Diceros bicornis minor: one gene and its partners. The protein of the gene in region 1 interacts with the protein of each later gene in a biochemical or structural test. Links are inferred from orthologs where the notes say so. Each region holds a gene or a part of one and is shown in the gene's direction. Other genes may lie near its edges. The genes, in order: RPS6KA1, ARHGEF12, SNTB1 and MAST1.

The links.
Region 2: the proteins of RPS6KA1 (region 1) and ARHGEF12 interact in a test that uses a peptide from one of them, tested with the Homo sapiens proteins (2 studies listed by BioGRID and IntAct, with this or other methods). The link is inferred for Diceros bicornis minor from reciprocal best matches to the Homo sapiens genes RPS6KA1 and ARHGEF12.
Region 3: the proteins of RPS6KA1 (region 1) and SNTB1 interact in a test that uses a peptide from one of them, tested with the Homo sapiens proteins (2 studies listed by BioGRID and IntAct, with this or other methods). The link is inferred for Diceros bicornis minor from reciprocal best matches to the Homo sapiens genes RPS6KA1 and SNTB1.
Region 4: the proteins of RPS6KA1 (region 1) and MAST1 interact in a test that uses a peptide from one of them, tested with the Homo sapiens proteins (2 studies listed by BioGRID and IntAct, with this or other methods). The link is inferred for Diceros bicornis minor from reciprocal best matches to the Homo sapiens genes RPS6KA1 and MAST1.

Annotation. Positions count from the first base shown.
Region 1 is NC_080752.1:42,391,175-42,398,278, forward strand, and holds the start of RPS6KA1 (ribosomal protein S6 kinase alpha-1), read left to right. Parts: upstream 1-4,087; 5' UTR 4,088-4,206; coding exon 4,207-4,341; intron 4,342-5,206; coding exon 5,207-5,323; intron 5,324-5,589; coding exon 5,590-5,671; intron 5,672-7,104. UniProt on the Homo sapiens protein: Serine/threonine-protein kinase that acts downstream of ERK (MAPK1/ERK2 and MAPK3/ERK1) signaling and mediates mitogenic and stress-induced activation of the transcription factors CREB1, ETV1/ER81 and NR4A1/NUR77, regulates translation through RPS6 and EIF4B phosphorylation, and mediates cellular proliferation, survival, and differentiation by modulating mTOR signaling and repressing pro-apoptotic function of BAD and DAPK1.
Region 2 is NC_080746.1:16,732,445-16,739,292, reverse strand, and holds the start of ARHGEF12 (rho guanine nucleotide exchange factor 12), read left to right. Parts: upstream 1-3,838; 5' UTR 3,839-4,757; coding exon 4,758-4,789; intron 4,790-6,848. UniProt on the Homo sapiens protein: May play a role in the regulation of RhoA GTPase by guanine nucleotide-binding alpha-12 (GNA12) and alpha-13 (GNA13). Acts as guanine nucleotide exchange factor (GEF) for RhoA GTPase and may act as GTPase-activating protein (GAP) for GNA12 and GNA13.
Region 3 is NC_080760.1:36,701,943-36,709,949, reverse strand, and holds the start of SNTB1 (beta-1-syntrophin), read left to right. Parts: upstream 1-4,988; 5' UTR 4,989-5,021; intron 5,022-5,195; 5' UTR 5,196-5,420; coding exon 5,421-5,988; intron 5,989-8,007. UniProt on the Homo sapiens protein: Adapter protein that binds to and probably organizes the subcellular localization of a variety of membrane proteins. May link various receptors to the actin cytoskeleton and the dystrophin glycoprotein complex.
Region 4 is NC_080769.1:4,532,787-4,539,852, reverse strand, and holds the start of MAST1 (microtubule-associated serine/threonine-protein kinase 1), read left to right. Parts: upstream 1-4,053; 5' UTR 4,054-4,099; coding exon 4,100-4,182; intron 4,183-5,819; coding exon 5,820-5,908; intron 5,909-6,372; coding exon 6,373-6,448; intron 6,449-7,066. UniProt on the Homo sapiens protein: Microtubule-associated protein essential for correct brain development. Appears to link the dystrophin/utrophin network with microtubule filaments via the syntrophins. Phosphorylation of DMD or UTRN may modulate their affinities for associated proteins.

The DNA of each region.
Region 1 (7,104 bases):
TGTGGCTGGGCTCTGTCCCTTCAGCCTGCCCTGCAGAGACCCCGAAGCAGTAAGACTGTCCATCTAATCCAGGAAGAAGTTCTGTTTACAATGTCCCTTTGTCTCTGTGGCCCATTTTGCTTCCAGAAACAACCTTCTTAGAGTGAAACATCTCATTTTAACCTCTATCTTACAGAGGAGGAAACTGAGGCTCAGACAGGGAAAGAGATTGGCCTGGGAGCACTCAGCTAGTGGGTAGCCAGTTCTTGACTTCCCGCCCTGCCCTCTTGGCCTCAAGCCTCTTGTTCACGCTGGTCTCTCTCTACATGGAGTGTCTTTTTTCCTCCTTTCTGCCTGGCCAAGTCCTGTTCATCCTCAGGGTCCAGCTGGACTGCCTCTGCCCTGGAAGGTCTTCCCAGCCCTCACCCCAGGCAGATAGTTACCGGCTCTGGGCACCCTTAGCACCTTGACTGCAGCTCTGTCTGGGGACAGTTGTGTTTTGTTATCGTGTATTTATTTTCAAGAGCTGCCTAAGGACAGGGCCCCAGTCTGCCTTAACATGTGCGCCTCCTAGTGTCTGGCTCCTGGCCTGGGGACAGAGCAGGGGCCCAGTAGCTGTGAGTGATGTCCAGAGGGGAGGCAGGCTGGCCAGCCTTGCTGAGAGGGTGATAATGCAGTGCTTGAGAGTGTAAGCTTTGGAAGCAAACAGACTTTGATTTTGCTCTTAGTTTTCCCCCTTTCTAGCCACATGGCCTTGGGCAAGTCACTTTCTCTCTGAGTCTAGTTTCCTCATCTCTGAAATGGGATGACAGCACCTCCCTTGGAGCTAAGACATAGAGCCTAGCAGAATGCACACCAGCAAAGGTTGAAGGAAAGAATGGCCTCGTGCAATAAATGCTCAATTATTAGGAGGCACACTTCTTGCTGCCACTCCATGCCAGTCCTAACCTAGTGCCTGAGGCCAGCTTCCCCGTCAAGGATGCTTGGGAACTGTGGACCCCTCCTCACCTGCCCAGAGGCGTGCTGGGAGACGCGTCTGGGGACATCTGCCCCACCAGAGGGGGCAGCGCCTGGGAGGCCCTGCGGATGCTGCCAGCTGGAGAAGGGGCTGTTGGTGTCCGTTAGGGCTGGAGGTTGGCAGGTGGGTTTGGGCTGCAGCTGGTAGAGGGAGGCCCAGGGTGGGGACCCTACGGACCAGGGATCAGGCTGGGGGGCTCTGGGCTTCTCTCCCAGCTGCCTTGTGGGAGGAAGTAAATAAGAGGAAGTATCTATGGGGGGAATGGGGCAAGGGACCAAGGGATGTGGTCTGATATCTGTCCTCCCCCACCACTGCCACCAGAGGCCTCACAGGCCCTGCACATACCCTTCAGCGAAGGCAGCTCTGAGACTGTTTCCTTCCTGTTGCCCCTTCCTGTACCCTGCTAGCCACAGAGTCTTCCTTTGCTTCTGAAGGACTTGAGGGTTGGAGGTTCAGCTGGCGCTGGACCAGAGAGCTTTGGGGCTCCAAGGGCTGCCCCAGCCTCCACACCCCTGACTGAAGAAGCTGGGGTGCAATAATAGGCCTCAGTCTAAGGAGGCATCTTTCACAACCCCCGGCAGACCATCATCAGTCTGTTATTGGAGGCCCTGTGAGGACATGAAGGGGAAGTCCATGTGTACGTGGGGGCGTGTGTTTCCACATAGAGGATGTCTGTGGAAATGGTTTCCGATCATCAGCCTGTGTGTATTTGTGTGTGTGTCAGTTCCTGTGGTGTACGGGTGTGAATGATATGGCAAGACCACGTGGAAGGGGGCTGGGCCTGGTCAACCCCTGTCCCATGGCTACCTGCTCCTCCTCAGTCCTCTGTGAGGTCCTTGCTAGGGCCTTCTTCCCCCTTGCCCATCCCAGGGCCCTGGACTGGCAGGCTTCTTCGGGGTAGGGCTGGGTGTGGTGGTGCCTGCTCTGTGGGCTGCCATTTTGGGTGGGCCCAGCTACGGGAAGGTCACTACAGGGGAAGGAGTGTCTACACTTTGGGCTGGGGCAGTCAGAGACTGTGGCCTTGCTTACTTGCTGACATCCCCACATTCTCTCAGGGAATCTTTGCAGGTGTTGGGATGCCCACTGTGTCACCGCCTCATCGCCTTGTGACTTCTTTCTGGGTTCTGGTCTTCTCTCTTTAGGATCAGAGGAGATGAGGAAGGGTGTGTCCCTGGGCCCCCTCTGGAGTCATGGGCTTGGGGTCTGCGGTGTCCCTTCCTCAGCAGGGGAGCCTGACCCATCTTTGTCCCTCCTCCCTGCAGAGGGGGAAGTGAGAAGGAGGGGGTCAGCGACCCTGCCTTCTGGGCCGGGAAGGCTGAAAAAGCAGAAGTAAGGGGAGTAACGGGGCCCTCTGGCCACCGGCTTGAGCCCCACCATGCAGACCCCGGCAGATTTCCCCAGGGTTGAGAGAGACTCACTTCCCTGTCTCAGAAAGGTGAGCAGAGGGTTGGCCTGCCTCCAGTGGTGTCTGTCACCATGACTCTGGGCAAGGAAGGGGTTTAGGGGTGGCTCTGTCCCCTGGGGTTTCCGGATGACTGCCTTTGTCCCCAGGGAGTGTTTTCAGTCAGAGGCAGACAGATAGGTGGAGGCTCAGAGCTCAGGGTGGGGTGGGCAGGGGTTGCTGTGTGGCTTTGGCCCACCTCAGTCCCTCTCTGAGCCAGGCTTCCTGCGTGTCCTGCCCGGGGTTACACTCAGGGGCTTGATTAGCCTGCAGCTTTTGGTGGCTGCAGCTGTTGTGGCTATTCAGGGTCCCCTGAAGATGGGGCTGTGTCTCTGAGGGTCAAGACCTGGAATGGGAAGTCCCCAGACTGACCCTGGTACTGAGGGAGGGGGTGGGCTTGGATGGGCAGGACATGGCTCTGGCTCACTTACCTGCCCACCCTTTCCTGGCACTTGAGTCCTGCTGACCCCAGGCCAGGCGGTAACCAGGGGAAGGACTTGGGTTCAAGCCGGCTCTGCCACTGGTTCCCTTTGAGCCTGGGTGAGTCACTGTCCTCTGGGCCTCAGTTTCCTGTTCCTGAAATGAGGGTAACAGCTTTTGGGATATTTATATCAGAGTGAAAGCCATCAGATTGCACTCAGGAGATGTCCTTCTCAGCCCACTGTCCTAGTCCTGGGCCCTCCTCAGGCCCTGGCGTGGGAAGAAAATCCCAGAGAAATGGAAGGCCTCAGAGATGGGTCTGCCACAAAGACTGGGCTGTTCTCTCAACTGCTGGGGGTTTGCAAGTGATTCCCTCTCACCTCTTTCCCCACCCTGAGGCAGACCAGCAAGAACCTGGAGCTCTGCCCTTGAGTCCAGGGTCTGATTTTCTATGTATCTGTGTGTCTTTCCTGCCTGTGTGGCTGCCCTGGGTGTCTGTCCATCTACTTGGGCCTCACGGACTCTAGCTGTCTCTGTCTGCTGCCCACCTGCCTCTGTTGTTGAGTGCCTGTCTCTGTCTCCACTTGATGAGTGCCTGTCTTCACCTGTTGGGTACATGTGACATGTTGAGTGCCTGTTGGGTCATGTCCCCTTCTGTCTCCACCTGTTGAGTGTGTGTCCCCATCTGTCCACCTGTTGGATGCAAGCCCGCATCTGCCTGTGCCTATTGGGTCCCCATCTGTCTCTGCCTGTTGGGTCCATGTCCCCATCTATCTTTGCCTGTTGGATATGTGTCCCCATCTGCCTCTGCATGTTAGGTGTGAGTCTCTGTCTACCTCTGCCTGTTGGGTGTGAGTCCCCTCCTGCCTCCACTTGTTGGATACATGTCCCCATCTGTTTCCACCTGTTGGATATGTGTTCCTCCTACCTCTGCCTGTTGGATGCCTGCCTTCATCTGTCTTTACCTGTTGGGGGCCTGCCTCTGCCTGTTGGATATCCCTCTTTATCTGCCTCTACATATTAGGTGCCTGTCTCTGCCTGTTGGGTACCCATCTACTCCTTAGCAGCTGGGTTGTCCTGGGGCTTTCCCTTTGCAGGCCCACAGGGAAGATGAGGGGGAGGGCCAGAGGGCAGCCCTCAGGCAATGGGGAGGGGGGAAGAGAGAGGAAGGGAACGTGGTGAGGGTGTAGGCCTGGAGCTGGGAAACCACAGGCCCTGAGTGATTGGCGGCCCTGAGCCTGGCCCAACCCCCGCCTTCACCCTGCACATCCGCCTTGGGCCTGGCCACCTCCGCGGCAGCCCAGGACGCTGCCTGCTCCTGCCATGGTGCCTTGGCCCTGCCGGGCGGATGGAGCAGGATCCCAAGCCGCCCCGTCTGCGGCTCTGGGCCCTGCTCCCCTGGCTACCCAGGAAGCAGCGGCCCAGGACCAGCCAGACCTCTCTGCCTGCCCCTGGCCCTGGCTCTGGCCCCAGGCGGGACTCGGTGAGTGCGTCCAGATGTCTGGTCCTGGCCTGGCTGTGGCCCTTGGAGCAGGTGTCTGGGCAGCCAGGTTGGCCTCAGCTGGCTTTGGGCTCTCTTAGCCCAGGCTTGGCCCTGCTGGGTGACTGGACTCTGCCCAGACTTGCTTCCCTGGGAAGTGAGGAGGGAACCAGGGCTCTGGGGCAATCTTGGCAGATTGGAGGGAGAGCACAGGGGTCCTAGAACAACTAGGCCCTGGCAAGGGGTTTCTAGTAGACTTGTATGAAGGAAGTTTCAGAGGGTGGCGGCGTGGAGCCTCTGGCCTTAGCTTCCTACTTGCCCCAAACTGGCACTTACTGGGTTGGTGGGGAGTCTCAGGTGACTCTTGGGTCCTTATGCATCTCAGCCCTGTTCTTCTGACCAGAGGGATCCGATCATCCATCCTGACCAGGAGCAAAAGCCCAACTCTGCCTCCCCAGTGTGAGAACAAACCCTACTTCCTATTGTGGCAAAACCAAAATCTTTGCAGCAGGGGGAGGGGTGCCCCACAGGGAGGACCTGGGGCAGGTCTGTGGGCCTCAGCCAGAGCCTGGGGTTGGCTCAGCCCGGCTTGCCTGGGCATCTCTTTGGGCCTGACCAGGCCAGAGCAGCAGAAGCAATAGGAGCAGTGCCTCACCTGACCTGGCATCTTGGTAGTTTGACCCTCCCCGGCCTTTGAGGCCCTTTTGTCTTGATGAACCCAGAGTCTGGCTCTGTCAGGGTAGCTGTCTGGTTGGGCCTGGAGGGCCCAGTCTGCTGAGGTCCAGTGGGAGTGGACTTGGATGGGGGGACATGCCCAATTCTGGCCTGGATGGGAGAACTGTGCCCACCATCTCTATCCCTCCATCAGGATGAGGGCATCCTCAAGGAGATCTCCATCACGCACCATGTCAAGGCTGGCTCTGAGAAGGCCGACCCATCCCATTTTGAGCTGCTCAAGGTTCTGGGCCAGGGATCCTTTGGCAAAGTGAGTCTTGAGCCCACAGCTGGGAGGGCAGCACTGGTTGTGTCAGAGGTGGGGGTAAGGAGTCACGTTGGGGCTCAAAGGATCAGAGGGCAAGGGTTGATGGATCTGAGAGAAGGATGAGAGGTCACCTTGGTACCCAAGGAGGGCAAAAGGTCAACTTGGGGCTCAGGGAAGTTAGAGGTCAGCGTGGGATCTGGAGGATGGGAGCTGATGGCCTCAGCCCCATCCCCAGCTTCTCCTCTGCTTTTTCCTGGCTGCCTTTTCAGGTCTTCCTGGTGCGGAAGGTCACCCGGCCTGACAGTGGGCACCTGTATGCCATGAAGGTACTAAAGAAGGCAACGCTGAAAGGTGAGTGGAGGACACCTCCCAATGCAGAGCCCAGGCTGGGTACGGGATTGAGGAGACAGCCCAGCTCTCAAGGGCCCTGGGTCTGATGGAGGAGATCGCTCTATCCCCAGGAGCGCTGGGTAGAAAAACAGGCCTGTTCTCAGCCGCCCCTTACCCCCCACCCCAACTGATCGCAAAGACAGGATCCTGCAAGCCAGGTGCCAATGACCGTAGCTGAAGGTGAATGTCTAGAGGGAGGTGGGATGAGTGCAGTGTGTTTATGGTGAGGCCTTCAAATATGAGGCATCAGATTGGTTGGGCAGAGGCCTTCTGTCAGCAGAGTTGCTTCACAGTGCTAGAAGAGCCTGAGGGAGACCTCTCAGGGTGGAGAAGGGCAGGAGGGAAGAGGCAGGGAGCTCGGGGAAGCAGCTGGGTGGGTAGGAGAGGGTGAGTCAAGGCATTGCCACGGAGATGGATGGCAGAGAGGTTCAGAAGGGAGCCCGAGCCCAGGTCTAGAATTCTAGTACTTACAAAGGGCATGAGGGTGATTGGTAGTGGGCTTTGGGCTGGGCAGGGACTCTTTGACCAGCCTGGGAACCAGTGCGACCACTTACCAAGTGGAGTGGGCCCTAGCTGGGGTGAGGTGGGTAGAATCAGAAGGGTTGGCTTTGGGGACATTAGGGGTCATATGGCCCATGAAGGGCTATCTGTGGGGGTAATGTAGCTTTGGTGCCCCAAGGCTGGCCTGATAGGGGTGATAGTCATTCCTCAGGAGGGATGGTGGGAGCCACGGGGGAGAAGAAAGATGAAAAGGCTTGGTCCCTGCTGTGAAGGGCTCCCAGGCTGTTCGGGAGAGGCTGAGCAGACCCTGGGAGTCTGAGAGGCTGTGCAGTCGGCACTTGGGACCCAGGAGCCCCGGGGAGGGTGGGTGGCAGCCTCACAGCGAGCAGGCTCACATAAGGAGTAGCCATTTGAACTGTTCCTTGAAGGATGCATTAGGAGCTTTCCAGATTGAAAATGGTGGAAGGGTACCCCAGGAAGGAGGAACTGTTTACCTAAGCAAAAGCATAGGGACGGTTTGAAAATGTAAGGTGTATTTAGGAAACAGTGACTGGAATAGTTAACTCCAGCATGGTCCCTGCCATGGCTGGTGAGAGAAATAAAAAATTAAAATAGAGGGTGAAAGGTACTCTGCAGGGGGAAGCACAGCGTGGTAGGAGAGAGGGCCGTGACTCAGCTTGGCAGGTTAAGGAAGACTTCTTGGAGGAGGTGAGGCCTGAATTGAGTCAAAGAAGAACGTGCTGATGATCAGAATTGCCTAGGGACTTTTATTCTTAAAAAAAATTAAGTATGTGGGAGGTGCCATGAGTCTGATTTTTAGGCCCAGGGAATCTGCCTTTCTAACTAGCTCCCCAAGTGACTGTTCTCACCAGCCCCCAGACTGGAAATGGGGG
Region 2 (6,848 bases), on another chromosome or scaffold:
CTCACCTAGGAAAAGCAAGAGTGTAAGCACAGAACAAGGGGATGGGAATCAAGAATTCCTGGGCTCTTTAACTAATTTTGCTACTCACTTGCTGGATCATTTGGGCAGGTCACTTGTTTACTCTTTGCCTCAATTTGAACCCTCTTGTGAATGAATGAAATACCCTGCTGGGTATTTCATAGAGACATTATGTGGCATTTTATTCATGGAGGTGTTTAATGTAGGGCTTTTATGAAAAAGTGAAGTATTTATTTATTTGTATATTTGTTGTTTATTTATTTATTTATGTTATTTAGATCTGTGGTGACTGATTAGCTCAGTTGGTAAGCAAGTGTATGGGGCTCTTGAAGTCAAGGCTGAAAGCAGGAAGTGTGAGCCCATCCTGTGGTGACTGGTAATCTTAACCTAATGAGTGGTCTTGAAAATGGATGTCATTGGCCAGGCATGACGGAGTGACTGGAACTGCATCAAGTCATCGTTGCTCTGGGAAAAGCAACTTTAAAGGCATGTTAACAGTGGGTCTTCTAAAATGACTGTCATTTGGTGAAAGAGTTTTGCTGGACATGGAAATAATCTGACAGTAGCATCTCCATCTCTATTTGTCTATGATCAGTATCCCTAAAATGCTAGTTAGCTTCCTCCTAACAAATCTGTGGTCAAAGTAGGATGCTGGGGAATGCTGATTTTAGCGAAAGCCTACTAAAAAAGTGGCTTGGTGCATGAGCTCAAAAAAAAAAAAAAGAAAAAGCTGGCTCTTGAATTTTGGCACAGTGTAACCTGTTCCATACCAGACAAATGAATAGGCTTAATCTGGTACCAATTCTTTTCTCCTTACTCTTCAGAAATGAAGGGATTGCAGATCTTGCTGTTTTGGGGTACTCTCATGGGAGTTTCTTTGAATTTTGAGAAACCTAAACAATGATAAGGGAAAGAGAATTCCTCATTTCAACTATTCTTGATGTCATAGCTAATAACTATGAAGGAAACTCTCTGAGAGAAAAATGTGAAATGAATATGCCTCAGCAGTTGAGATGCTGAGTTTTTACATCACAGGTAAATGAAGGGCTAATTCACATGTGGTGTGGTTGGACAAAATGCAGGACTCATTTGCATTTGGATTACTATGTAATAATTACTAACACTGCTCAAGAAGGATTTATATTTCAATAAGATTTGTACTAAATTTTATAAAAATAAACAACTTTTTCTCAACCTAGAGTCTGCGTTTATATCTTTGTTGTGGTTTTGCCAAGAAGTGGGGAAAAAAGTCTTTTGACCTGTAGAAATGTTGACCCATATTTATACTTATTGGTGAATTACCTCTTATCTGCTGCTTATCATCAACCATTCCTACCATTCTTTACTTTTTGGAGCAACACTCTACATACAGAAAACACTTTGCCAAAAGAGAGAGGAAGAACCTAATTTCTTTCTTATTTTGCCACCTGTGTGGGCAGTTGCCTTGAAAATGATGATGTTGAGTGGGCTCCATGAGGACACAGCCTTTGGCTCTCTTCAGAACTGTACTTCCAACACCTAGAACAGTGTTAGATGCAGAGTAGGTGCTCAGTAAGCATGTTGAAAGAATGGATGAGGGGAGGAGAATGTGGTTTAGAATAACCCTCCAATGGAAAACCTGCTCAAACAGCATGCACAATGGATTGTGTCATTTTTCTAGGCAAAAGACTAACGACCCTGGGGAGTGTGTACTACCTAGATTGGTGTGACTCTTCTGAAGGCGTTCTGTAGATAGAGCCCTTTAGAACAGTCTAGAGCTACCAACAGCTGTAAAGAGGCTTTCACAGACATTTTACCATTAGCGCTTTGTGGGTGAATATAGAGATTTTCATCATTAAGAAAAAATAGTTCTGGGCTTAATTAAATCCTTTGCTTACCATCTTCTGAAGCTTTCCCACAGCAAATGCCTTCTTTGCTCACAGCTAGAACTTTGGGTCTGTTTAAGTTTGGAAAGATCTTGAAAGCAGTCTGCCAAGAGGTTTTGTATGCAAGGAAGAGAAGGTGAATTAGGAAACTTGCCCAGTTTGTTTTATTTCTGAAGCTCAAGTAGTGAGGCATTCTTGAAGGGAAGTGGGGAACTCGTTTTTAAAATGCATAATTTGATGAGTCATTGGGTCCAATTAATTTGATACCTACACTGTAAAATTATTAGAATAGGGCAAAAAAGATATTTAGTATGTTTAAGAAAGATATACGTTTGGAGATAAGGTTTGCATTTTGGTCAGTGTATATAGATGGATGGAGCTCTTTCCAGTTATATGTAGAAAATACATAATTTCATTAAAAGAGTTTTCAGGATAGAATTATCACGTTAGGGTACACCAGCAGGTGGCAATGTGTCCTGGTCTGATCATTAGGAAAGTGGCTTGGAACCCTAATCTGCTTCTATTTTTTCCCAAAATAAACATTACAAAATTAGCTGGCTGTGCCCTGAACTTAAAAAATTCAAGCAATAAAGAGTCATCTTTGGCCTCTGTTTATCTTTTCCTTTTTTTACCCCGTTCTAACGTCAGCCTTAGCTCATGCATCTATTCAGGGATAATGATCCTTTCATGAACTGTTGTAGGTCGACTTTTAGAAACAGCATTGTTAAGAGGTAATTGTAACTGTTTCCGCTCGCCACATCCACTGACGACTAGATTTGCTTTGCCACTTGATTTCCACAAAAAGGCTGAAGACCACCAATACGGGTTTAAACTCAAAAGTCTGAAAATAGCTGGATAAAGGGACAGCCACTTTAGACCTTTAAGGGAGGAATGGAAGAACTAAATTGCGTGTTGTACTTAAATTGCTACAATACCGAATTATGCAATCATAAAACTACATAGATATCTAAATCTAGCTACATAGTAGGAAAAAAACAACGAAAGAATATTTGGGAACTCTTCAAAGAGAACTGTAATGCTGTTTACTGGATAAATACAGTATACTTTATTTTCTGCCTTTATTTCTTTCCACAGCAAGCTTGTTAGGTCGCTGTGGAAAGCACCATGTTTTCTCAATTTGGCAAATAATACCTTTCATTTTGCCAAGGCAGAAGCAGCTTAAAAGCAATATTATCCCAAGAAATCTTGGCTCCAATTCCCAAACTCTCTTTCTCCCCAGCCCTGCACACCCCCGTCCTCCAACCCTCCCTCGGCAGGCAGGACGCGTGCGTGGCGGCCCCTGTCCTGAGACGAGGCCAGCAGGTGCCCCAGGTGAGTGGCCAAGGCCAAAACCTCCCTTTGCTGGGGTTTGCTTCATAAGAGAGGGACAGTGTCCAGGCACCTGGACCTGAGCTCGCTTCCATCAGTCAGAAGCAGTCTAAACGTGTTAGCAGAAAATCGGAAGAACAAGTACATTCCCTCAAGGAGTAAAAGTTTCTAGGACAAGGGGGCGGGTGATGGCCAAAGAGCCTCTCAGCCTGAACACCTCGGGGTTGGGGGAGCGCTCTTTGGCGGTCTCCGGTTAAAGCTGAGTTAGCGCAAGCTAGGCTCCGAAGTACAGATACCCGGCATTCCCGGGGCCCCAGGGGCGACGGTGGGTTGCTGAGTTGGTGAGTGGGACTCCCGGGTACCGACTGTTCCCACCTCGTCCCGCAGAACTACTTTCTCGCTCCCCCACACAAGACTCCGGCGGAGGCGTCGGCGGGGGCGGCGGGAACTCGCGCGAGGCGAGCGGGGGCGGCGGGCCCCAGGCGGGAGGGCGGCGCGGCGGCCCTGCGCGCCGCGGAGGGATCCCGGGTGAGGCGGCTTCCCGAAGTCAGAGGGGAGGAGGCCGAAAAAGTCGACGGGGGAGGGGACGAGCGAGCTCGCGCTGGACACGGCCGGGGTCTGGAAGACAGAACCGGAACCGGAACCCGGGCGCACGCCTGCGAGTGTCGCGCGGCCCCCACCGCCGCCGGCCTCCCCCGCCCGCCGCGCGCGCTCCCGCGAGGGCCTCAGGACCCGGCGAGCCAGCCGTGCGCTCCCAGTCGCCGCCGCTGCCGCCGGCCTCCGGGGCCGGCACTTCCACGCCGGGCCGGACCGGAACCTCCCGCCCCTCGCGGGAACCGCCGCCCTCGGCGCGTCGGGGAGGAGCTGCCGCCGCCTCTCCCGACTGCGGAAGAGTCCGGGCCTCCGCAGGATGGGGAGCAGCCCGCGGCGCTGAGACCAGGTTCCTGTCACCTCTGGCTGCGGGACCCGCTCCGCCGGCACCCGCACCCGCCCCGCGCCTGGTGGGGGCGGCGAGGAAGACGAGAGGGCTTCCCCGGCCCGGGGACATGGAGCCGCGCGAGCCTGGCGCGGGACGGTCCGAGACGCGGCCGAGGCTGCGGCCACGAGCGGCCGGCAGTCCCAGATAGAGCGGAGACGAGAGGGCGGGACGTGCAGGCCCCGAGACTCCGGAGGAGGAGCCGACGCCAGCCCTGAGCTGGTCTCGCCCCAGCCCCGGAGGGATTCCGGGCCCCCTTCCCTGCGGTTCTCCGACTTCCCTCGGTGACGAAGTTTTCTCCCTGTGCCTTTTCGAGGATTGATCTCTAGAACTCGCCTTCTGGCAGACTTCCTCGGGTTGTTTGGGGAGATAACTTGTTTTGCTCCACCCCATATCCCCTTTCCTTGACTCCTTCCAATCGGACGTTCTAGATGACTGCATGGAGTTTTGAGTTGGACTTTTGTGTCCCTTACGGAGTCGGGCCTGATCCCAGAGCACTGGGGGTGGGGTGGAGGTGTTCCTGTAAAATGCAAGTTGGATAAAAGGAGGACCTCTCGCCAAGGGCCCCAATGAGTGGCACACAGTCTACTATCACCGACAGGTTGGTATGAAGCTCCCCCTGCGCTCAGCCTCCCTGGATTCGGCCGACCCAGCAGGAGAGTCAGTGATTGCCTTTGACCAGCGGCGTTGACAGGCACAGGAGAGAAGGTTGTTTCCGAGCTCTGCAATATGTCTAGGGTTGCTGCCGAGTTACCCGGTTGATTGAATTTGGAAATGTAGTTTTTTCTGGAGAGAAACTTTCCTCCAGATTCTCAGAGCAGGGATAGGTAAAACCATGATTGTGGTTTTCTGCCTGTAGTGTGCGTTAGGATTCTGTCCTTATTTTGGAACCAGAGGAAGGTCATTTGGGGTGAAGGTCAGTGCTCGAAGTCAGCTGGGGTGTTGGTGCATCCTCGGTTTTGATTCCTGTCCTGTTGTTTCTGGACACTGTTACTTTTTAGGAATTTCTGTTTGTGAATTTCATTCTGAGACTGTTGCATAATGATTTATGAACTTGATTTCCTTTAAGTAATTGACCTGCACAGTGTTTATTATCTAATAATTTTCCAGAATATTGAAATTACTAGTAAACCGCAGGCTTTTGCTGGGGGCAATATCAAGGAGCTAAAAAAAGGCGAAGAAAAATAATGGGGCTTAATTTTAATTATTGTATTTTTAGTGTTTCGTCTTCCAGAGACATTTGCATTTAAGGGATACAAACCCTAAGCGAATTATGTAGTACAAGTGTGACAGGTGGATTTGTTGAGTTCTGTGAGCCTTTTATAGTAGTTCTTATTCTATGTTGCCTGGTGTTGTTTGGTTAATTGAGGTAGGCCATTTGTGGTTTAAGTGGAGTTCCCTTACTCTTAAGAGTTATTCTTTGGAATATTAGGTTAAGCAATAGAAGCATATTAAGTCCTTTACTACGTTTTATTTCTCAATTTAATTATGACATTGTATCCTGGTCCCAAATTTCAGTCACCTTTTTTTTTTGTCATGTTTCAAACTGTTACATCATTAAAAAAAAGATCAAATAACTGAATAAGGGGGCCAAAGAAGGCACTTTGATGAAAAGTGCAGCAATAGTGCTCCTGCAGAAAGTAGTTGAATTTCCTAATAAGAGTTTTACCCAATTGTAAGACTCATTTGTTGATTTTAAAAGGGCCAAATTCCATTATCATACCATAACAGCGACTCCAGAAACAGAACTTCCTCTTCCTGTTGATGCTTTCTAGTGTCACGTGGATGTTCACCTAAAAGATTCCATTAAATATTTAAACTATTTATATTTATTCTTTGTTCGTGTATTTTTTTTAAAATACTTTTTAATTTTCAACTTTGAGAGTACACGTAACATGATTAGCAACAATGCTCATCTTGATTTTTTCTAGTTATTCCCATTCCTTTTTCTTTTGGGGTGTTTTGCTTCTGAGAAATCACTTTCATGGGTGTGTGGGTAATTGTTTCCGTGGTTCATTCAATTCTTACCCTCTCTGCTGAGCCTTGGACAAAAAGTCTTATTAAAGTAGTGTTGGTAGTTTTTATTGTGATGCGAGGGATGTTAAATGTTGTGGAAGCAGAATGTTGGGTCATCAGCTCATTCCACATGAAAATCACCTAAAAGCCCCCAAGTAATGACTGTTCTTCCCCTTTGCTTCTCAGAGATTTTCTTCCTCTTTCCATTATCTTGGAAATAAAATCTTGAGATGTGTCCTTTTTATGACTTAGATAAAATATGAATATACAAGAAGCATGCAATTATTGAACGCCTGTTCTTTGCTAGGCACAAAGGATTGAAAGATGAGTATTCTAAGAATAAGATGAATCTGCAGATTGGTTTGAGTATTAATATGCTTGAATTAGTTCAGGTGCTGCCTGATTTTATATATTTTTTAGAAGAAAAAAGAACTTTAAAAGCCACTTAATTTAAAATGCACTACTGAGACAGTATGGATGTCTGTTTCGTAGGAATGTGCTACTAGTTTGGTTTTTTACAAGAATTATTCTTATGTAACCATTACTTTTTCATTAAACATAAATTATTCCATAAATATCAAGCATCCATTTGCTTTTTAGGAGAGTGGTTGTCTCTGATTTGAATATATGTTGGGGTGAAATCC
Region 3 (8,007 bases), on another chromosome or scaffold:
AATGTGTCTTCTGCCTCTGGGCTTCCAAGTTTTGCAATTAATCGGGGCTATTTTTGTATAGTTCTAGTTTAATTATGCATAGAAGCAATTCAAAAGTTGGCATATAGTTATGAATTTCTCTCCCCAAAATCAATCTTTTCCTTTGCTCCCCAAAGCCAAATAGAGTGCCAGACCCTATCAATTCTGCTTTCAACATTTTTCAAGATCATCCTTAACTTTTCATTTTCTTGCTACCATATTTTAAAGATGTGTATGGAAGAAACTGATTTCTTATTCCTCTTCACCATCACACCAGGACATCTTCTAGGCCCGCTAAGGCCAACTTGCTGAAGTTTCTAGTATGTGGTGGGATATCTTGCCTACTAGGATTTCAGAGTCATTTTGTTCATGTCTTTAATATGGGATCTAACCTATCACTGTACAGTTTTAAAAAAGGATCAAATGCATAATCCCTTAGGAAAAGTCACTTAAATTTATATCATAGATACTAAAAGACTGGTGTAAGGTTTGTTTCAACAACAGTAGTTATGGAAGGGAAGTAAAAGAAGTGGAACTCTATAAGAGAAGGTGGAAGATAAACATCTAAGTACTTTAAATTCTGCCTTGGGCTAGTCCTGCTCCCCACTACAACATTCTAAGCACAGTGAGCACTCAAAGAACTCTCACCCGACTGACTGGATGGCTGATAGTCTGGGTGGTAGTCTACCTACTTTACCAAGGATCCGCCCAGGCAAATGCCACGTACTTGCAATAGAAGTTGTTTGCAAACCCACTTAAAATTGATGATGCACCTGTTAGCCAAGTGGGAAACCCCAGAGAAGCAGCTGCTCAGCCTCTGTTCCTGTGCCATCCTCCTGTCTCAGGGCTTCATCTTTCAAATCAGAATCGCTAACCCAACATTATGATTTGCAATTAAAGGCTGGCTACCTCCACGCATTTCACGCTCAGCATTGCAGCCGCCACATTGTCGCCATGTGCTCTTTGTGTACATATCTGTCTTCCTGTCTTAATTACCTTTGCATCTTTGGATGGGCCTGCCCCCAGCACCTGCCTCAGTTACTTAGAAGAGTAGCTACTCAATAAGCGTTTAGTCAATACATATTCACATAGGTATGCCTCATCTTAGGAGTTTTGCATTTCAAGCCCCCCTCTTGCTCCTCTCTTCTTCTGTTCTCTCATTCTCCCCCAGATATCAAGGAGCTTTCCATTTTTCTCTTCTTCACTATTGCCCTTGTATCCACTCTCCATCTTGTATATGGACTAATCCCCCTAAAGATGCTCAACCTACTCTTTAGGGAACAGTACCAAAAATACAATCCTCATATTTTCCAAATCTAAATATTGGAGCATGTGTTCTAACCAGTAGAAGTTTACTCAGTAGCTAATAGGAAGTAATATTGAAACAAGACTGCCCCTGACAATCCAAAATGTATGGTTGTTGAAGCTCAAAGAGGACAAGGAGAATGGTCTGTGTTGTAATCCTCCACGGCTGCGCCTTGTGATTTGGTCCAGCCTATCTCTCTGATCTCCCCTCCTACCTCTCTCTGCCTCCCATGGGCTGCCCCAGCCACGGCGACCCCTTTTTGGTCCCTTGAACTAGACAAGCTTGGTCCTCTCTTAAGTGCTTTGCACTGGCTCTTCCTTCTTCCTGGAACCCTCTTCCCTAGATCTTTGCAAGACTCTCATCTTCTTATCATCCATGTCTCAGCCCAAAATTTACCTTCTCACAGAGGCTTTCCTTAACAGCTGCCACCTCCAGATGTCCCTTGCCCCTAGTTACTCTTGACCCTATGACTCTGTTTTATTTTCTTCCTAGTACTTACTTCTCCACAAAGTATCTTATGTTCACAGTTTTTCTCCACCTCAACCTACCATCCATTACAATGGAAGCATCACAGAGCACATTTTTGCCAGTTTGTCCGCTCCCATACCCCAGCACCTAGAACAGTGCCTGAGACACGGTAGGTGCACAACAAAGCTGTGGAATGAATGGATGGACACTGCCCCTTCTGTCGCATGTGGCGGCTCACTCACGTATCCTCAGCTCTGTGGAGCTGAGAACTGTGTGATCGGCTCTTGTAGTTTTAAGTCCACCCAAACCTCTGTAGGGAAATGCACCTCCCACAGGAAAGGGGCACACACAGGAGGATCCCAGTTTTGGCTGAGTAGGAAACGGAAGTCAAAAGTGTAGGACAGAAGGAGGAAACAGAACCAGAGACAGAGCTAAGCAAAAGAAATGTGGTTAAAAAAAAAAAAAAAAAAAGTAAGGGCCCCTTCAGGTGGAAAGGCTAGAATACTGAAATTGGACTGGTAGTCACCATGACCCAGTTGAGAACTTTGCCACAAACTCACTATGTGGCCTTGGGTTCGTCATTGCTCTACTCTGGGTTTGAAATGCCACACTTATAAAATGAGGAAGCTGCAAGTCTTTTTGGTCCTTTCCAGTGACCATTCTTTAAAAGGAGAGCCCTAGGAAAATATGATCTGTCCTATTGTAAGTGTTAAGGGGCTATAGTGCAGTAGTCCCAATTCCCACCAAGAACTAAGAAAGGAGGTAAGTAAGGTTTACCTCTGAGAGTCAGCGTTACCAATCAGAGGTCAGATATGCGGAGTTCTCTGAGGGATAAGACAGGGTCTCTAGGCCAGCAAGACCACAACAGTCACCTGTTTAAACATATTAATGTGTCTAAAGAAAAAAATTGTGTCCATTAGGGGAGAGCAGAGTGTTCTCTAACCTTGGAAAGAAGGAGAGGCCAGAGGCAAGGGCTGGCTCTACACTTCTAGTGCCGTCTAGGGGAAGGGTCTTCACTCTCTGGGCTTCCCTCCCAGTGGAAAGGCTGGCCTCGGTGTAAGATGAACACTTTAGCTTATAGGTTCTGAGTATGTTCAGGAGAGTGTAGGACAATAGTTAAAAGTCCAAACTCTTCAAAACTGGCGTCAAATCTCGACTCTTCCATTCACTAGCTACATGACCAGGGCAAGTTATTAAACCTGTATCTCTATTTTTTCACCTGTGAGATGGGACTGATGATAACAGTAAGTATCCCCAAGAATTGCTGGAGGAATTAAGTTAATATATGTATAGCACTTAGAATAGGGGCTTTATTATAATTTCATTGGCAAAGTCATCTCTGGCTAGCATGCATGCCTCGGGCCTAATGATGTTAAATATTTGTTTCTCCTCCTTCTGATGTCATTTTCAACAAGCAACCTACTCCTTCTTGTGTAGGTTTGCTTACACAGAAAAAATGTGCTTATCACAGAGATTCTGAGAAATCCGCATCCCAGAGCCTGCAATATCTCATGGCCAATCGATAAATTACTTCCAGTTATGCCTGGGCCTCCCACATTGCTTGACCACAGAAGCAAGATGCAGGCATGATGTGAATGGAGGATTTTGGCCCAGGGGCAGATCTGTTTTGATTTCCAAATCAACACACTGGTTTTCTGGTGCTTATCTCTACCTTAGTGTGCTTGGGTTAGAATGCAGACACTCAGGCTCTGATTTTCCTGATGAGCCATATGCCCGAGTCCTCAGTCCTTAAAGCAGAGGGCAGTCCCAGCTGGTTTTCCCACCCCACAGTGGTGCCACCTGTATCAGCTCCCTGTCCAGTCCTGCACACAGCGGCTGCTGTCCCTGCCGTGGGTAACTTTATGTGAAAGAACAAAGAGCTTTTGGAAAACTAGTGGGTTAAAAATATAGGAAAGGAGGATGATACAAGCAGAAGCATTAATCCAAGAGTTCCTGCTGACCTGCCAGCAGTGACTTTTCCTTGACAAAAAAAAAAAAAGTCCAAATATTTTCATTTTATTCTGTGACCCTACCTGGAACACCAACCACCCTTTAGGGATTTGTCTGCATTTTAAGCATTCTCAGTTAAAAGTGTGAGTCATTCTGGAAGGGTTAGAGATCTCTCAGAGATGATACACATCAGTGGGAATGTGTTCAAATAAGATTTCCTTCTTCCTGACACCTTGCTGGATTGGGTTTACCTCTAAGAATTCGAAGATTTGTGAGTTTTGTTTTGTTTTGTTTTTGGAGAGAAGAAAGAGAGAGATGGAAAGGGGAGGTAAATGAGAAGGCTGAAACACTTAGAGAGGTCCATGAGACCTGCTCAGGGTGGGGGGAGAAATTGAGAGGTTCAAGGACCAGGTGGACCGTGGGAGGTTCAGCTATGACATGGGTTAGGTTGGCATTTCCGGATTGGCCTGGGAAGGTAACCAACGATTATAATATTGTTGCCCTGGAAAAATGCAGCTTGAACTCCCGATACATAACTTGTAAAGGAACTTTTGAGATACAATCCATGTAACTGAGTTCTTAAATAGTGGACTTCCTATATCAGATCTTGGGAAGAAAGAGAAAGTCCCAGGAAGCATTTGGTGTGGCATTGGGGAAAAAAGGTCAGAAGCATAGAGCACATAATGTGTTGGAGCTGGAAGAACATTTGTCCCTGGGGTGTGGGCCAGGCAGTGAGCTGCTGAATACCCCGGCCAGCAGAGACACCTCTCCAGAGACCCCGCAGAAAGATGTCTTGCATTTGAAGACAGGAAGTTTCGGGCACTCGGGTTATGCTGACGTTTCATTCTGGGTTCTTGGGACAGCCTTCCCTCTTGACTCTCAGAGAACCCAGGGCCTCCGTCTGCGTCTACCTGAGAGTCCTCGCGGAAAGGAGAGACAGGTAAGAACTCAGCGGGAGAAGCCAAGCCTTGGTAGTGAGGAGACCTGGATCTAGATACAGTTGGGGGTTAGGACTGAGGGACAATTCAGTGGAGGGTATGAAAGGGATGGGGGATCAGGAGCATCGAGTGAGGGGATCAAGGCAGGACACACAGACCAGGCAAAGGTGAGGTGCGGGCGCCCGCGGAAAAGGGAGAGTCGAGACGAGAGGGCTGGGGCGGGGTGGAGAGAAGGCGCTGGGAAGCTGTCCCTGCAGCGCCGTGCGCTCGGAGGAGGGAGGCGGGGTGGGTCTGGGGCGGCGTGCGGCGTGTGACAGCCGAGGCTGCGGCGGCTGGAACAGGTGAGCGGCCGCCGGGTGGCGGGTCCCCGCCCTTCCCCGCGACGTGCCTCCTCCTACCGACTCTCCCCGGCGCTTAGCTCTTCCGCGGCTCCCCTTGGTTTGGGGTTTTGCAACTGGCAGCTGGCTTTTTTTTTTTTCCCCGTCCCCTGTTTCTGTCTCTCCTTCTTCTTTTAGGTTGCTCCACCCCGCCCAGGATCAGGCGAGGGGGAACCGGCTTGGCTGCGGCTGCCAACTCGCGCCGAGCGCGTCTGCGAACTCCCGGAGTGGAGTCCCACGTCCTGCCTCCTGCCCGCGGGGCGCGCGCTCCTCGCTCCCCCAGGGCCCGCGTCCTCCCCGCGCAACCCTTCCCCACTTTTCCCCCCTTTTGCAATCACATGGCATTTTAAGAATGCCGGAAAGATGGCGGTAGCGGCGGCGGCGGCGGCAGGGCCGGTCGGCGGGGGAGGCGGCCGCGCGCAGCGGAGCGGGCTGCTGGAAGTTTTGGTGCGGGATCGCTGGCACAAAGTTCTGGTGAACTTGAGCGAGGACGCCCTGGTTTTGAGCTGCGAGGAGGGCGCTGCGGCGTACAACGGCATCGGGACCGCCACCAATGGCTCGTTCTGCAAGGGCGCCGGCAGCGGGCACCCGGGCGCGGGCGGCGCGCAGCCCCCGGACTCGCCCGCCGGGGTCCGCACCGCCTTCACCGACCTCCCGGAGCAGGTGCCCGAGTCCATCTCAAACCAGAAGCGTGGCGTGAAGGTGCTGAAGCAGGAGCTGGGCGGGCTGGGCATCAGCATCAAGGGGGGCAAGGAGAACAAGATGCCCATCCTTATCAGCAAGATCTTCAAGGGGCTGGCGGCCGATCAGACCCAAGCCCTGTACGTGGGCGACGCCATCCTGTCGGTGAACGGAGCCGACCTGCGGGACGCCACCCACGACGAGGCGGTGCAGGCGCTGAAGCGCGCTGGCAAGGAAGTGCTGCTGGAAGGTAAGGGGTTAATGCCGCGCGGGCCGCGCCGGGCGCGCACACACCCTCTCGCCCTCCCGCCGCACTCTCACACTCACCCACGTGCCTCACACCCCAGGGGGCCGGGAGTGGGGGCGGCCTGGAGTTTTGACAACTTTTACCCACCTGGGGGCAACTTGTCCCCACTTAGAGTCGTTACTGGCTTTGATCCAGTAGGGTGTATGAAAAGGCTAGGCGAGCAGGGATTCTTGAGCTCCTATGTGCCAAGCACGGTTTGCATGCTTAGTGCACGTTGTCTCATTTTTATCCGCGGATAATCCAAGTGTCGTGTAGGGGCTGGGAAGTGGAACTGAAAATGAAGAGTAGACGTCCACGTTACGAAGCGAGCACACTGAGTAACCGCAACTCGGATAGTTTTCTGCTTTGGCATAATTTTCTCCAAAGAAGCCCGGGCAACTCAACTAAAAGGGTTGAAACATAAAGGGGCCGGAGAGCGCTGGCAGTGTTTGAAGGCTAAAGCTCCGACCACCCTTCAAGACTTCCCTCCTTTCAGATTGGAAGCTGGGGTGATGGCTGGGGAGTTGTGCCACGGGCTGGGAAGTTTATGCAGACGTTCACTTCTGCTGCCAGGTTTTAGGCCCGTCAGTCTGGATTCCAGGTTGCGCTGGGTGGAGGGCTGGTGAAGTGATTTCTCTGCCAGAGTTTTCCGGGGATTCTTCCCGAGTGGTGTGGAAACAACTTTGCATTTGTAAACAGTTTCCCTGTGTGTGAGGCATCTTAGAAACTACTCTCTTGAGATCTGATGTCCCCAATCCCCTAATTACTGCGTGTGAGTAGAATAGGTAGCATCGTTTGTACCCTCTCGTGGTTATGTGTGGTTATTTCCGGAGAAGGTCAGTGGGGAAGTTGTGGGTAATGCCTTCTTTCCACTGCAGCTGTATTTCTCTCTTGATATCTGTCTCTCTGCCCCTTAGCTCACTTTGTACAAAACTCTGTCAGCACTAATATCATGTAATTATTTCATCTTCCCTCTAACTGTAGACTGAGTTCTGGGGTCTTTTATTTGCTTATGGGTCCTCTCCATTGAGCTTAGGTGCTCAGTGACATGCATGCTGAGTGAATGAATAAATGAACCCATAGCCATTGAAACAATGTTTCGACAGAGACCCTTGTAAACTGGTGGTTGATTTAGGTCCCTAAATTAAGGACTTAAATCAATTTCCTGCTCAACAGTTGTGCTGGCTGTGAAACTGAGAAAATTCAAAGTTGGGAAACCAGCTTTGTTACATATGACAGCTGATGCAACTGTCTGGTACATGATGGCCCACCTCCTGGCCTAGAATACAGAGGATTTTCTCCCCCTTATTGGTCTAGAGGATTTGCGATGTCTTCATATTTAATTGCTACCCTGGATCCAGAAAGTGGCAAGCTATTTGCTTTGGCTTATGATTAATATAAGTAAACATAAAAAAGTTTTTTTGACTCAAGTGTGTGTTGGATTGTGTGACAAGGGGCAGGTGGGATCTGGAGCAAGTGTAGTTTGGACTATAAACTACTGGGCACCTGCACAGCTTCAATATTTACTGTAAAATATCAGGGGGATGAAAGGCAGGTCATTTTTATTTCAGGCACTGCCCTTCATTATGTGCCTTTTTTCCCTTCTTCTCCTTGGTTTCAATTTGATGAATAATGACTTAGCAAAGAGGTGAAAAATATCTCTCACCCAAAAAAGAGGAAGAAAAGATGACTCCCTGCAGTTGAAAATAAACTTAAAGAAAAATAAAATCAAGCAGTTATGTGAGTATTGATGCAGCAACTGAAAAGTGAGTTTTGTAAACGTCTAACATGTCATTCTCACAACACGTTGTCATGTGTTGTAAGCAGGACATCTGGGAAAGACCTGTGGGCCTCCTAGACATGAAGCACCTGGGCTTACCTTATCCCCATCCTGAGTTTTCAGAAATCCACTGCTATTAAGAGAAGCAAGCATCGGCCCCATTCAAAAGAGTGTCTCATATTCTGAGGCGAAGTGTTGGTCCT
Region 4 (7,066 bases), on another chromosome or scaffold:
CCGGCCCTGGGTGGAGAAGAAGGGGTCGGCGCCCTGGGGCGGAGCCCAGCAGGGGGCGGGAGAACTTGAGCCAGGGTCGGTCCGGCGCCCCCTCCGTTGGCCTCGGGACGCTACCCGCGGGGAACGCGGTGGCCGCGCGTCCCGCCGCGCTGGGGACCCCGCCCCTCAGGCGCCGCCCGGGCATCCAGGGAGCTGGCAGAGGGGGTGCAGCCTAGCCCTCCCCCTCGAGGATAGCCTGAGGGGCTCCTGGCCCACCGGAGGGGGAGGGGGCTGGGGCCGAAGTCATCGCCCTGGCGCCCCGCCAGACTGGGGGCGAGGGGGCGCAGAGCAAAGTTATTGCCCCAGGGCTCGCGCCCCTCGGGGCTGCGGCGCCAGCAGCCGCCGTAAACATGTTTGTGCGGCAGCCTGGCCCCTCACCACCCCAGGAGCCCCTTTCCGAGGCGTGGGGACCCCCTGCGACCTGCATGCACCTGCCTGGACACCAGGATTCCTTCCACTGCTCTAATTGGACAGACACCTGGGCAGCCTCCTTCCTCACTCTTCTTTCCACCCCCCTCCACTACAACACCCCCCCCCAACCCCGCGCGCGATCCTCAAGTCCAGCCCAGCTTGTGGGTGGGCGGGAGCGATTTTTAGCTCCTTGCAGCCTTAGAAGATGCTGGTCTCCAGGCTGCGCAGGCGCGGGAGGCATGGGTCCACTGCACGGAGTGGGATAGTGAGGATTGTTTTGGAGTGTGGGGAAGGCGGGACAAATCCTGGCGTCAGGAACTCCCACCTCCGAGATAGGTGGGGATTCTGAAGCTGAGAAGGGCCCTCTTCTGTCTTCGGCGTGCGCTTCTAAGGATTAATACGAGGGTTTGGTGTTGCCCCCAAAGTGACCCCAGAGGGGAAACTGATCAAAACTTCACCCCGAGGCCAGCCTGGGGTCTCGTCCTTCTGAGCCTCTTTGGAGCCTAGCCCCTCGCTAGGTAATCTGGAGGAGTTTAGATAAAGCCTAGCGTGGGCCCAGACTCAAGCTACATTCCTAGCCTGAAGCTTGGGAAAAGAAGGGTAGGATTCCAGCCCGAACTCAGGGTCCCGTCTAATTCAACATCTTTGAAGATGGAGACTAAGGGGGGCTGATCTGTCAGTGCAGCAGGAAAAATCGGAGTCAGACGGCAGGAAGGACTTTCCAGGCGTCTGGATGATGCTGGAGCCAGACCTGGGTTGGAAAACTAATTTGCTTTCAAACAGAGCCCAGATAGCCCCATCAGGGGCCTTGGGCTCTTCAGGTTTTCCCTGGCTTCCCTCTCCATCCCAGGGCTAGGTTAGGAGAAGGGGTTCTGAGAAAAGGGAGGGAGCTGCAGCAAAGCCAGGGCGAGTACGGAAGCAGTCAGATTGGGTCCGCGCCGTCGGGTCCCCGGGAAGGGGGCGGGGCCTGCATGGGGTGTGTCCCCGCCCTCCGGGCCGGCGCCGACTCCCATTGGCTCAGCGCCACGCGGGACTTCTGTCTTCCGCGCCAGACCCCGCCCCTAGCCCAGGACCCTCCCCCTCACCCACCCATCCTTCCTGCCCCAGGCGTCCTCCTGGCCGGGCTAACCCCGCCGGCGTCCTGCCTCTACCTCTTCCCTGGTGGCGGGGTTAACCACTTCGCTACCTGGATACACCCTCATGCACAGGTGCAACCCCTTAGGAGGTGTCCCACAATCGCGGAGCGCCCGAGGGTTCCTTGTGTGCAGTTGAGATCGCACATGTGGGACAGCATCCCGAGTTCGAATGCCCTGGCCGCAGCGCTGTCCATTAATCCCGGGGGGGCGGGGGGAGCAGAATCCGATGGGCAGAGCGGCTCTGCAGCTGGGGATGGAGGTGGCGTCTGTTTACACTGACGCCAAAGATCCAAATCCTCTACCGCTCCAGTATTGCTCCTTTCTTCAACCCTAGAATGTTTAGGGGCGCTGCAGATGGAACTAGGTTCGAGGACTTCGCCCGGTGGAGCTTAAAGGTCTCCCAGGGGCTCACCCTCGAAGGCCCAGTGTACCCGGGTCTGGAGTCCCAGGCTCCTTGGCCGGAAACTCCAGGTCTTTATTTCGCTTGGGCCATTGCGGTCGCGCAGCCCTGCCGGCTGGTCCAAGCTGAGGCTCATTCAAGCTGATCCTGCAAAGACAGGGGGAAATCCTGGTATGGATTTCCGGTCACCCCTGGCTTGGGAGGGCAGGGCTGCCTATCTGGACAGTGTGCCCTTTGACCCCGACCATATGTCTAACCTCTGGACATGGGAGTAAGAGGTCCCTCTGGCCCACCCTCTGTCATGCAGCATGTCCATCCATAATCATAATAACTCCTGTTCCTGTGCCCCAATATTTATTGAGCACTTACTATGTACTAGGCACCATGCTAAGTTGCTAGGCACCTGCATCATCTCACAGAATCCTCTAGGAGGCAGGGACTGTTGGAAGCGTTTTCCAAGGTTATAAGAGGCAAAGCTGAGATTTGGATCCAGCGCTTTCTGCTTTCAGCAGTCATAGAAGGGATCTAGAATATTCCTCATTTTCCCCTGGCTGGAGTCCCCACAAAAGGGCTTTTGAAACCCTCACCCAAATCTTCCCCCCTGCAGCCCTACCTACCTCAGCCTGTGGACACAGAACGGGCTGGAAGGTGGCGCCCCCTTTCCCTGTTGCTCTTGGAAAAGGGTTAGACCTCTGTAATTTCTGGTCCCTGTAGTGACTTCCTGTGTGCTTGAAAAACAGAACATGACCTGCTTCTGATGTGGACACAAAGTTAATACCTATCAATTATTATCAATGCCATTATGGAAAAAGATCACCCAGCTGCCACCTGATTCCCATTTCAAATCTCAGTTTTGAGTCACCCTAACTACCCCTCCCCCCAACTCTGTGAACCTGGCTGGGAGTGGAGTAGAACTGTTGGGGTATGGAGGAGTCATTCATTCATTCATTCATTCAACCTTGCATGCCTGAGCATGCCAAGTTCATTCCTGCCTCCAGCCCTTTGCAGTTTCCTCTACCTGAAATGCTCTCCCCAAAGATCTTCCCATGGCTGGCTCTTATTTATTTTTTTGATGAGGAAGATTGGCCCTGAGCTAATCTCTGTGCCAATCTTCCTCTATTTTGTATGCAGGGCACTGCCACAGCATGGCTTGATGAGCGGTGTGTAGGTCTGCGCCCGGGATCTGGGCCTGTGAACCCCAGGCTGCCGAAGCGGAGTGCAAGACCTTAACCACTACGCTGCCAGGGCAGCCCGCTGGCTCTTATTTTTCAGCAACCATCTTAAAAGTCACCTCCCCAGAGCAGCCCTCTCTGACCATCATGTCCCCCTCCTATCCATTTTCCATCACATCACCTTGCTTAATTTTATTCATGACGTTTATTACTGTCTAAAATTTTCTCCTTCACGTCTACACTCATATTATTTATTGTCTGCTTCTGTCCTCTAAATGCTAGTCCCCCAAAGGCAGGAGTTTTTATTTGTCTCATTCACTGCTGCATCCCCAGTGCTTAGCACAGGGCCTGGCATACAGTAGGTGCTCAAGAAATGTTTTTCAAGCAAAAACTCTTTGTTCATTTGCACAGACACACATTGAGACACCAACTCAGGAGTCCTATACGGGGCCCTGTGCTGGTCTCTGGGGTCGGGAGAGGAATCACCCTGGTATCCTCTCCCCCAAGGAGCCCGGTCCTCGGCGCATGGCCAAGAGTGCAGGTGACAATGCTGATGAGGGGCCTGTCACACCCCACTTCTGCACCTCCAGGGGCTGACAGGGCTTGCGGGTAGCAGCTGCTGGTCCACGCTGACCTCTATCCTTTTGCCCCTTTGCCTTCCAGAAGGATTTGCCCCTGCCGCGGAAAAGCAGCAGGTGAGCCTTGAGGCGAGATGCGCGCGGCTGACCGCCCCCTCTCCGGCCCGGGTGGGGGCGCAGGCGCGCGCGCGGGCGGGGCCAGGCGCCGGTGCACAGCAGCGCCCCCTCCCGGTGGGCGGCGGCCGCACGGCCCTCCCTCCCCCGCCCTCCCCTGCCCGCTGCGGCTCCAGCCTCCGCCCCGCGCGCTCGCTCCCCGCGCCGCCGCCGCTGCCGCACCTGCCACCATGTCGCCGCCGCCGGGTCATGTCTGACTCTCTCTGGACCGCGCTTTCCAATTTCTCGATGCCCTCCTTCCCTGGCGGCAGTATGTTCCGCCGCACCAAGAGGTAGACCCCCGATCCCTCAGACCCTGACCCGGCCCTCCCCCAAAAACCGCCCCTGCGGCGCTGCCACAGGGCGGGGCCCGGGATGCTGCACCCGGTCCAGCTGCGCCAGAGGTGCCCGCGCTGCGCCTTCCTGCCAGGGATGGGGCTGAACGGGGGGCGGTGTGGGCCGAGGCTGGGGGGACTGCAGGCTGGAAAGGACCGCCGCGGGGGGAGGGGGCTGCGCAGGGTGGGGGGTTGCGGCGCCTTTGTCTGCTAGTGCTGCGGGCTCCGCAGCCTGGTGGGGGTAGGGGAAGAAGGGGAGGGTGGGGGGCTTGGCACCCTCAGAACAATAGCCGCAGCCTGGCCTCCCCCCACCCCCATGCCGCGTGCTCCGGCCGCGCTAATATGCTCAGTCACTGCGGCGGGGGGTGAGGGAAATGGAGGGGCTGGGGGCTCCGTCCTCGGAAGCTGGGATCCTGAAGGGCAGAAAGAAAGGGGGGGCTTTTATCATAGCACAGACTCCCTCCCCCCCCCCGGAGAACACAGCCTCATACGGAAAATAGTGACACACAGCGTCACACAGGACATGATGTCACACACACATACACACACACCAGCCCTAGTGGCCCAGATACACCCGGGAGGCGCCACGCACACCCAGACATGCAGCAGCCATAGGTCAGAGGCGTGCACAGACGCGGGGGCACCCAGCGTCCCACACAGACGCGTAAACCCACAGGTAATGTGGTGCACAGCAGTAAGATGGCACATGCATGCTGACCCACACACACAGTTATGCCATCGAGAGGCACACAGACACGTGTGGCAATGACATCCATGCACCCAAGCAGTGTCACAACACAATATCATCTAAGCATGGCACATGCTGTGTCACACAGATGCCAGAATAAGCAGACACAGGAATTCTTGCAGAGATGGAGAGACACACAATGTCACACGTTATCACACACAAGACTCATCCAGGGAATGTCACACATGGTTGCATGCTCAGACATGCCTAGTGTCACAAGGTGTTAAATTCACACACAGTGGATGCCACTCGTGGACACACATGGTGAATGTCACACACAGACGCCAAGACAGGGTCTTGCACCGATGCAGAATGCCGCACTAAGACGCAGACATGTATAAAGAAATCATGCATCATGCACATGTTAGCGCACACAGTGGCACATCTCGTCATGGGCAAGTGGCACTACACACTGTGTCACATAGACACACAAAGGCACAGGTTGTGTCACATAAGAGGAACCCAAGGACTGTCACACATGATGTCACACTAGGTGTGTGGATACACACAGCGAGTGTCAGACGCAGACCCAAGACACACACTCAGTGTCTCCCATGGTGTCATATAGACAGCATGTCTATCACTTCATGACTGACAGTGTGCCCCACATGGTCACACATGATCCACACACACTGGTAGTCTCACACACACGTCACACGCACATCCCCTCCCATACACAGTCCTACTGAGGACTCCATCGCCTCCTCCTCTGAGCGGTCCTCCGGGGGCACCTCCAGGCACACACGGATGGGAGACATGCGGGGATCTGAGATGGGAGGGAGGCTGGTGGGCCCACAGACTCACTGGGCTGCGGCCCAGCTCGGCCCCCGCCTCGTCTTCCCCGCAGCTGCCGCACCAGTAACCGGAAAAGCCTCATCCTGACCAGTACTTCGCCCACGCTGCCGCGACCCCACTCCCCACTGCCGGGACACCTGGGTGAGACAGGGGTGGGTGTGGACCGGACTAGAGGAGGCGTGGCCACAGGCGGGGGACGTGGCCACGGGCAAGCGGTGTGTACATGCCACAGGTGGGGGGAGGGCCGAATCTGGAGACAGGAGGGCCCGGATTGGACGAGGGCGGGGCCAATCCTTGTGTGGGCGTGGTCAGCCCGCAGAGGGCTGGCATTGGCAGGCAGAGGCCCAGGATGGGGCAGAAAGGAGGAGCCATACCTGAGGGGCGGGGCCATCCCAGATGAAGGCCTGGAAGGGGGGTGGGCTGACTCAACAACCAAAACAGCTGAGAAACTAGGGGCCACAGCTAAGGGGGTGTGGCCAACTAATTTGAGTGGGACTAGACTAAAGAGGGGTAGGACTGCTGTTTGCAACCCGCTTTGGGGGTCAGGAGGTCTGATGGGATTGCCTCCCACCCCAGGCCTAAAGATCCCCCTCTTTCCGCCACAGGTAGCAGTCCCCTGGACAGCCCCCGCAACTTCTCCCCCAACACCCCTGCCCACTTCTCGTTTGCCTCCTCCCGAAGGTGAGTCCCTCTCCCCAGGGCCCCAGAACCCTGGCCGGACCCTCCCCACCCTCTGTCTGGGCCGCCATCTGTTCCTTTCCTAATTGCACCTGAGCCAGGGCCTGCGGGACCCGCAGAGTGCCCCAACGTCCCAGCGGGCGCAAGCGCCCAGCCTTAGGGACAGGGCCTATAAGAAGGCGGGGACAACCAGCTACCCGGAATCAGGAAAGGGGCAGGGCTTCCTTTGCCGCGGAGCGAAAGCGCGTGCGCTCTGGTCCCAGGGTCTTAGTCTCCCCTGCCTCGCACTCCCGACCAGCCGTTTCCATAGCAACAGGACAGGGGAGCGGAGATGAGGCGCGCAAGCGCAGACTGCACGGTGCCCATCGAGGGACTCTTGGTTCCCCACGTGGGGGAGGGCGCCTAGGGCTCTCTCTCGAGAGTCAAGAGGAGGAATCTCAGATTTCCCTCCGGAGGTCTCTGCGAGTTTCTGGAGTGTCCCTAAACGAATTTTCTGGGGGCCTTTGGCGAAATTGGAGGAGGCAGAGAGATTCCTCAAATGTTTTTTGCAGAAACTTCTGGGAGTCACCAGGGGTTGCCGCGGGCCTCTTTTTCTTTCAACTTTATTCATACTAAAAACGT